2 linked regions of the Arabidopsis thaliana genome follow. The protein of the gene in region 1 purifies or fractionates together with the protein of each later gene. This does not show direct contact. Each region holds a gene or a part of one and is shown on either strand. Other genes may lie near its edges.

What was found.
Region 2: the proteins of AT1G27160 (region 1) and AT3G02760 fractionate together in Arabidopsis thaliana (co-fractionation; one large-scale study listed by BioGRID). This does not show direct contact.

Annotation. Positions count from the first base shown.
Region 1 is NC_003070.9:9,430,760-9,433,705, forward strand, and holds AT1G27160 (valyl-tRNA synthetase / valine-tRNA ligase-like protein), read left to right. Parts: upstream 1-1,658; 5' UTR 1,659-1,828; coding exon 1,829-2,431; downstream 2,432-2,946. Other genes in the region: AT1G27150 (Tetratricopeptide repeat (TPR)-like superfamily protein), read left to right, coding at 1-121, 197-301, 406-512, 588-639, 723-812, 902-986, 1,072-1,136, 1,223-1,309; AT1G27170 (transmembrane receptors / ATP binding protein), read left to right, coding at 2,818-2,946.
Region 2 is NC_003074.8:596,578-602,505, reverse strand, and holds AT3G02760 (Class II aaRS and biotin synthetases superfamily protein), read left to right. Parts: upstream 1-1,722; 5' UTR 1,723-1,855; coding exon 1,856-3,205; intron 3,206-3,279; coding exon 3,280-3,459; intron 3,460-3,549; coding exon 3,550-3,807; intron 3,808-3,890; coding exon 3,891-4,304; intron 4,305-4,383; coding exon 4,384-4,524; intron 4,525-4,609; coding exon 4,610-4,918; 3' UTR 4,919-5,401; downstream 5,402-5,928. Other genes in the region: AT3G02770 (Ribonuclease E inhibitor RraA/Dimethylmenaquinone methyltransferase), read left to right, coding at 622-805, 1,173-1,489.

The DNA of each region.
Region 1 (2,946 bases):
CAATTGGTGGCATGTTGCTCTCTGTTACTTAGAAGGAGGGTCCCCAATGAGTAAAGTAGAGGAGATTTATGATCATCACATCTGGAAAGAATTGGAGAAAGACGATGCTGTTCCTCCTGAAGTAATCCTCTTTTTGATTAACAAATTTATGCTTTTGCGTCATCTATTCAATATTCAACTGTCTGCAACTCTTTAGGTTTATCTCAATGCATTGGGCTTGTTGATACGTTTAGATGTAAGAGATGCTCTTGATGGTTTTGAAGACCGTCTCAAAAACCTTGCAGTTCGTTTAACTAATCAGGTAAGCCATACACTAGTTTTATATCATCCCAAAACGGTTGCAGTTATACGAGTTATCTTGTTGAATAAGTTTTTATTTTTCGGCCACTTGCTTTAACATTTCAGGCAAACTGGTATTTGGAGTGGCACCTTGATATATTGATAGTTTGGGCACTAGCAAAGGTTGGAGAGACTTCAAGAGCTCATGAATTACTTGAGGGCCTTAAGTTCCGGTTAGTGTGACTTTCTTTTATTCTGCAGTTTCTAAATGATACCGAATTTGTCATGAACTTGTGTTGTTCTTGCAGATTATCAAAGAAGAACAAGAAGAAGCAACAAGTGATGCAGAAAGGGATTCAGGTTTGTTTATTCCCCCTCCCTCTTTGATCGTCTTTCTTTATCATTGTAACTAGTACTCAATATCAGTCTTGTTTTCATATAAGCTTGGGGAAGCTGTGTATGAATACGCAAGGGGTAACTACGAAAAGGCTCTAGAACTACTGGGTTCAGAGTTCAACGCCATTGGTTACAAGGTAAACCGTTCTTCAGCGACTTGCTCAAAATACTCTGAATCAAACACATTTCTGGTGGATCTTTTAAACTGTTTTATGGTTAATAATAGATCGTTGGGGCATCAGACGAACAAATAGATGTTTTCAACGAAATGTGGTGCCAGCTGCTGCTAAAGACAGGCCAATCCTCCACGGGTAAGGCTTGTTGTAGAGTCTTACTAATTTGGATACTCGTCTTGCTTAGTATGATGATAAACAATCGTGGTTCTGATGTATGCAGCCAAAGAAGTAATCAGAGAGAGGATTAAGGCCAGAGATGGTATTCCTTTCATGTGGCGTTTGCTGGTATACATTCAAAAGCAGAACATCACTTTGTTTTAGTGTACTATATGTGTTTTTGCTATGAGAAAATGATGTCGTTGTGGTTGCAGGAGAAAAGTTACTCCATGGAAGGCAATGCAGAGGCTGAGAGTAGTGCACGAGAGAGAGCTAAGAAACTTGAATCTTGTTATTTCTAACTTTGCTTCAAAAATCCAATAATGACATGTGTGTATACATGTTTTTAAATAAGTATAGAATAAAATATTTTGCTACTCGTGTCCTACTTTTTTGTTTACCAAAAGGTAAATGAATAAGGGGGTGTATTGAAAGTGGAAGTTTAAGAGATTTGTGTAGAATTTATAAATCCTATGTTATTCAAACATGAATTTTAAAAAGTTTCATGAAATTCAGTGTTATTGAACTAATGATTTAAAAATCCACCTTAAAATCCACTGTTATTAAAAACAATTTGTGGATTTGAATTTTAATGATTTTGGAGGATTTGAGAGGATTTCTTTAGTTAAAAATACAGAAATCCAAATTCCATGGCTACCGCCAGTGGTGTAACAAACTGTGGAATGCTGTCAGATTTGCGATGATGAAGCTTGGCGATGGGTATACTCCTCCTGTGCAAACTCTACGCCCTAAAACCATGACCTTCAGCTGCCAATGGATTCTTTCTTTACTAACAATATCGAAGACAGTGGATTCCTTGAATGCGTTTGCATTATCGGATGCTGCCAACAGTGTATGCTTGGTGGCAATACCAGTTCTGTGATGTATTTATCGAGGCAATTAAGCCTTATTTTTCTGCTGACACTCAAAGAAGGATTCATGCACAAGATGCTCTCTGGGTGTGTCTCGAGACTGGTTTGAGATTGCTGCATCCATTTATGCCTTATATTACAGAAGAGCTGTGGCAGCGGTTGCCTTCATCGCAAGACTCTGAACGAAAGGCGTCTATCATGATATGTGACTACCCATCTTCCATAGAGATGTGGACAAACGAGAAGGTGGAAACTGAAATGGACATGGTTCTAGCGACCGTGAAAACTCTTAGGGCACTGAGAGCTGCAGAGTCGCTAAAGAGACAGAGAAATGAAAAGTTCCATGCGTTTGCTCTGTCTGGAAATGCATTAACACTGGGGATTGTGAAACCACATGAGCTGGAGATCAGAACTCTTGCAAATCTCTCATCCTTTGAGGTTATGTTGAGGGGAGAAGACAAAGCATTTGTAGTGTGTTGGGAGGAAATTGAAATTTGGATTAGTTACAATGTGCTTTATTTTATTTTATGTAAACTATGTCCATCGTTTTGAATATGACGGATTCGATCATGGAAAAGCAAACTTAGGAATTTCCATGTTTCAAAAAGTCAATGCATCCATACAAAAAGTTATACTACATGAATTAAGAAGTGTTGTGTATGCTTTAGCACTAACTATGTTGTAACTAAAAGCTAATTATGCTTTAGCCGACAAAAGAAAAGAAGAAGCTTACTAATTCTCTCCATTGTCACGAAAAGAATCTGTCTTTCAAACTTATTTTAACATTGTGGCATTAGAAATCGAAATTCTTGACGTTTTCGGTTTGTATAAGAGCCATGTCGCTATAATGTAATCTTTCTCTCCGGGTTCACGTAAAGAATTTCTCTGCACCTTTTCCATCTTTCAAAACTTTAATTTCGAAGAGGAAATAATCGAAGATGGTGAAGACCGGCGATGTTTCCGATCAGCGTTCGAGGCTCGAGTGGGATGTATTCCTCAGTTTCCAAAGAGACGCGCGCCACAAATTTACAGAGCGTCTCTATGAAGTGCTCGTCAAGGAACAGGTC
Region 2 (5,928 bases), on another chromosome or scaffold:
TGGGATATGTGAGACACTTACAAAACTTCCAAGCACCTCAGGCAATAATAAAGTTTTCGTTTTTATCTTAATTAATGAATGAATGTCACAAAGTTTGTGAGATGTACAAAAAGCGTCGAGGAAAAGGATAACAAGGAAACAGAGTCGAAACCAGAGAAAAGGCAACGCAAAGATTCCTTTTTTCGAAGCTTAACGACAACCCACCTTCCATCTGATTTAAGTAAAGTTAAAAGTCACTAATTTAATATTATTGAACGACCGAAACAAGTATGTTGATGACTTTGTTCTCCTTTAAATTATCATCACTTCATTTCTCAGAGATTTACGCACACAGAGTTCTCTTCTTCGTCCTAGTTTCTTCTATTCCAGGTAAATGAAATAAGATTCGATCAAAACCCAGATGGATTTTGAAATAGTTTTCTTGTGAATTGAATGAAAAGTGTGTATCTTTCCTTCTGGGTTTTGATTGATTGACTGAGAATATATATGATCACTTTATCTAGACTAATCTCGATTTGTCTTTTGCTTTCTGTGTTTGAGTAATTTCTCGTAAATCTCATATAATCAAATCCCCAGATTACTTGTTTTGATCATAATTCTTGATTCAGGTGAGAAGAAAAAATGGCGTTTGTGACCACTGCGGAAGTGTGTGACGCGAATCAAGAGATGATTCGAAGTGGCCAGCTCCGAGCTCTGCAACCCGTTTTTCAGATTTATGGTCGTCGTCAAATATTTTCAGGTCCAGTAGTTACTGTTAAAGTCTTTGAAGACAATGGCTTAATCCGTCACTTCCTCGAAGAGAAAGGTATTAATGATTCTTGCTTATAAAATTCAAAAGACTGAAACTTTACTCGTAGAGCTATGAACTTTCAGAGTATCTTTGACATGGTTTATTGGTATTGTTACATTTTAGATTCAATTCTTGTGTTACTTACTTGTCAAATAGTTTCAATTGTTCTTTGCTTGAAACTATGTTTGAAGAAGTCTTAAGATCATCTCTCTATGATTTAGAACTACTGCTCAGTGTTTATATACTTCTTCAGTCACTTTGCTAATCAAGTTCTTGAATACTAGAGACGAGATAGGTCTTTCAAAAACCCGAGTCAATAAACCAATCTGTTCTCTGTAGCATTCACATCAAAAGCTCAATAATGTTTTAAATGTTAAAACAGGCAATGGTAGAGTTCTTGTGGTGGATGGTGGAGGGAGTTTACGCTGTGCGATACTAGGAGGAAACCCGGTCGTACAAGCGCAGAACAACGGATGGGCAGGGATCATAGTGAATGGATGCATCAGAGACGTTGATGAGATCAATGGTTGCGACATTGGAGTGAGAGCTTTAGCTTCTCATCCAATAAAGGCTAGTAAGAAAGGACTTGGTGAACAAAGAGTCTCTTTGAACATTGCAGGCACTCGGATATGCGATGGCGAATGGCTTTATGCAGATACTGATGGTATCCTTGTTTCTCAGATTGAATTATCCGTTTAAAAGGACACAAGTGATGTTGTTGATTTGTTAAAATCTGTAAGCTACTACTTTTGTGCTTTGTGTTTCTGTAATGGCTATCAGAGTAAAAGTTGGCTTCTTTGAATATGATTATTGAACTATTGAATCCGTTTCGAGTTGATAAAAAAAAACATTTCGTAAAGTGAAAATTGCAAAAAGATCCTTGAAGTATCCATACAAGCATTTTTCGTAGATCAATTTCCAATAACTGGATACTTCGAGGGTCATTTTGCAGTTTACCAATTTTCTAAATCCGCCTTCTTGCAATTTCACAGTGCTTCGTTTTAGGTCAAACACAACGAAAGACAGAAAACCCTAATCACTCCGGCTTCAGCTCTGTGTGTGATAATGGCGGCGGAGAGATCGTCCATCACTCTCGGAGGGAAAGGTTCTTCTTTATCTTCTTCCTCCGTTTACAATGTTGCTTCCGGCGTCGCTAATGTTCGAATTGACTCTTCTGCGATCGAGAGATTCTCCACTAGAAACGTTCCATCGATCAAAAGGAGCTCCTTTGGTATCCCTCAAGGGTTAACGAACGAAGAAACTCGAGCTTCTCTGGCTGTTCTCTTAAACAAGCTTATTTTGTCGACTTCTGGTCCTCCTTCTTCATCCACCGCTCGTTCTGTTCTTCCGCTTAAGATTGTTGAGATTCTGAATTTGAAGGCTGAGAGTTTGGAATTGGGTGAGATTGATGTGACAGAAGGGGAAAACATTGTGTTGGAGAAGTCGTGTGCTTCGTTGATTGGGATTTGTTCTATTATAGATCACAAATCGACGACTCTTTCACAGATTGTGGATTCTGTTGCTGCGTTGAGTTGTGAGGTTACAAAGGCTGATATAGCTTCGTTTAGCTTGTTGGATTCAGGAGATGGGAATGGTGATAAAGATGTGATTGGTGTTGCTGGTGATCTCAAGGTTTTGCTTAACGGGTATAAAGGTACAGGGAAATTAGAAATAGAAGAGATTTCGAAAATCCCTTGGATTCATGGGAAATTCAGGTATGTGGTGAAAAGCGTGCACGCGGATGCTAGGAGAGAATTGAATTCCGGTGTTAAAGGAGGCAAAACTGGGTCTGGAAACACTGGGATTGGTGAGGCTTTAGGAACAACATTGTTACCTTTGTTAACGGCGATTAAAAACTTGGGAGTGTGTTCGTTCCTTCGTGCTAAGCTTTGTTTTGAGAAGATTGTGGATGAGAATCTGAAGAAATGTTTATCTGAAAAGATCTGTGTTGAGAATGAGAATCTAAAGAATAGCTATAAGTTAGCTTATACTGCTCATTTGGAAGAGGATTACTGCAGGTTTGCTCACAAACTGAATGAGTGTCTGGGAATTGTATGGAGAATTGTTGGTTTGGAGGCAGTTGCTGCCTTTTTTGCTCTTGCTGGTGGAGAATTGTTTGTTCAGAAGAGCGGAGATGCGGACAAAGAAGAGTCGAAGACCGATAAGAAAAAGAAGAAGAATGAGAAAAAAGCAGTTGTGGGAAAGGGGACAAGCCTAGTTATCCAGTTTATCAAAGATAGATTGGTGAGTAATGACGCAGCAAGTGATGGTGACCAGATGCATTCATTGATGCAATGTGGGGAGCAAATCTTAAATCTTTTCAACCCAGAGGGTCGCAGTTTTGATAGCTTGTTGGATAAAGTGAAAGAGATTGTAGAAAGTAATGAAAATAGGAGACTTCCCAAGCTTCCAAAGGTAAATTACAATCTCGTATATGGAGAAGGTTTAGGCCTCAGAGTTAATTTCTGATTTGTTTCATTCTATGACAGGGAACTCGAGATTTCGCTAAAGAACAAATGGCAGTCCGAGAAAAAGCCTTTTCAATCATACAAAACGTTTTCAAGAGGCATGGTGCAACTGCACTTGATACTCCTGTTTTTGAATTGAGAGAGACCCTTATGGGAAAGTACGGAGAAGACTCGAAATTGGTTTATGATATTGCTGATCAGGTAGAACTCTTCTTGGCTGCTGTAATATCATCAGTTTATGTGATGATTTGTTTGTCAAAATTTGAGCTCATATGGATCTATTAATTGCAGGGTGGAGAGCTTTGCTCTTTACGATATGATCTAACTGTTCCATTTGCACGGTATGTGGCTATGAATGGAATCACATCATTCAAAAGATACCAAATAGCAAAGGTGTACAGAAGGGATAATCCATCTAAAGGGAGATACAGAGAGTTTTATCAGTGTGATTTTGATATCGCTGGTTTGTTCGAACCAATGGGACCCGATTTTGAAATTGTCAAGATATTAACTGAACTCCTCGATGAGTTAGAAATAGGAGATTATGAGGTAATAACTTAAGTTGAAAGTCTTAATCTTTCCTGGTTGGTTTTTTCTTTGGCTATGTTCTTAATTCTGGTTTGTTTAAATAGGTGAAACTGAATCACCGCAAGTTGCTTGATGGAATGCTGGAGATATGTGGAGTACCACCTGAGAAATTCAGAACCATCTGTTCGAGTATCGACAAGCTAGACAAGCAATCGTTTGAGCAAGTGAAGAAAGAAATGGTGGAGGAGAAGGGCTTGTCTTCAGAGATTGCAGACAGAATTGGCAACTTCGTTAAGGAGAAGGGAGCTCCTTTGGAGCTGTTGTCTAAACTGAGACAAGAAGGGAGTGAGTTCTTAGATAACCAGTCATCAAGAGAAGCTCTTGATGAGTTGAGTATCATGTTTGAAGCTCTTAAAAGATCAAAGTGCAGTGAGAGAATAGTCTTTGATCTAAGTCTAGCTAGAGGTCTTGATTACTACACCGGCGTCATCTTTGAAGCTGTTTGTATAGGAGCAGAGGTAAAATCCCGCATTTTGGCTTCCTGCAATTCAATTAAAGAAATTGTAGTGTATGGCCTTTGAATTCTTCTTTCTGCAGGTGGGATCAATTGGTGCTGGTGGGCGATATGATAACCTTATAGGAATGTTTGGAACAAAGCAAGTCCCTGCGGTTGGGATGAGCCTGGGAATCGAGAGAGTGTTTAACATAATGGAAGAACTTAACGAGAAACAGAAACAAGTAACTTGCCAAACCCTTATGCTGTTTGTCGACCTTGTTTTAAAAGAATGGTTTTTGAAGTTTGTGTTATTTGCTATGAATATAGGTGATTCGACCAACGGAGACACAGGTGTTGGTTAGTATAATGGTGGATAATAAACTAGCGGAAGCAGCAGAACTGGTAAGTCAGTTATGGGGTGCTAAGATCAACGCAGAGTATCTAGTGAGCAAGAGGAAAGAAAAGCATTTCAATCGTGCAAAGGAATCAGGGATTCCTTGGATGGTGATGGTAGGCGAAAAAGAACTCAGTGGAAGTTTTGTGACATTGAAGAAGCTCGAGAAGGGAAGTGAAGAGAAAGAAGATCAAACATGTACTAGAGATCGTTTCGTGGAAGAATTGAAGAAACTACTCTGAGTCGTTGAAAAGAAATGAAAGGTACACACACTCACTCCTGGTTCGATGCCCAGACAAAAGGAATCACAGTGTTTTGCATTCTTTTTTGCTGTTTTCCTTGGTTTGTTTGATAATGGTGTTTTGCATGACTCATGATTGTGGAGACAAGAACTTAGAGATTTTGATGTTGATGAAGTTTTCCGTATTTAACTAATTAGAGGAGATATACGTAAATGTTAAGCCAATTATCAGAATTACGTTTCTTTCAAAAAAATCCTTATCCCTGATAACCTAATCTGCGATCTTATCAGAAAAAAGAAAGAAAAAATAAGTAGGAAATGAGGTGGAAGAATATAAGACCGAAAAGAGAAAATAAAACACAACAGGTAAGGTTGTCTCCAAAAATAAAAAAAGTGATCTGCAGATCTGTGTGATCGCATTTGCATGAGATGAGAGGAAGAAAGATGGTACGTGTTGGTTTCTGTACCTCTCTGCCGACATGTGGTGGCTTCAAGTAACTAAGGTCACTTGTGTATTCACATCTCACGTTTCCATTGACTATTGTCTCTACTCATTTTCGATTCAACTACTGAAAATATTTGGTAAGAAACAAACAGGCGATTTACCATCCCCTACTGATCATTTATATAAAAAAACAATGAGTTCTTTGGTTCCTTAAATAAGAAGAATTCACGGTGGTTATTCTTTTATATACAATAGTTTACTAAGCGATACAATAATTAAATCTGATAAAGAGTCTCACCCTCATGGGATGATTGACTGATTGTGAGACCCTAAATATGATTTTGATCTAAAAATAAATGATCTGTTTTATTGAATTTTCACAATTTTAATAATTCTTCATATTATATATTGATGATATTCTAGTGGATGTCGGAAAATTATGTGTAAGAAACGTCTTATCCAAGCCCATGTTAATTCTGCCAGCCTGAAACAAAAAAAATATAAATATTTTCATACATTAATACGTAAAAAATAATAAAATAATGATTCATCAGAAAGAAAAAAAT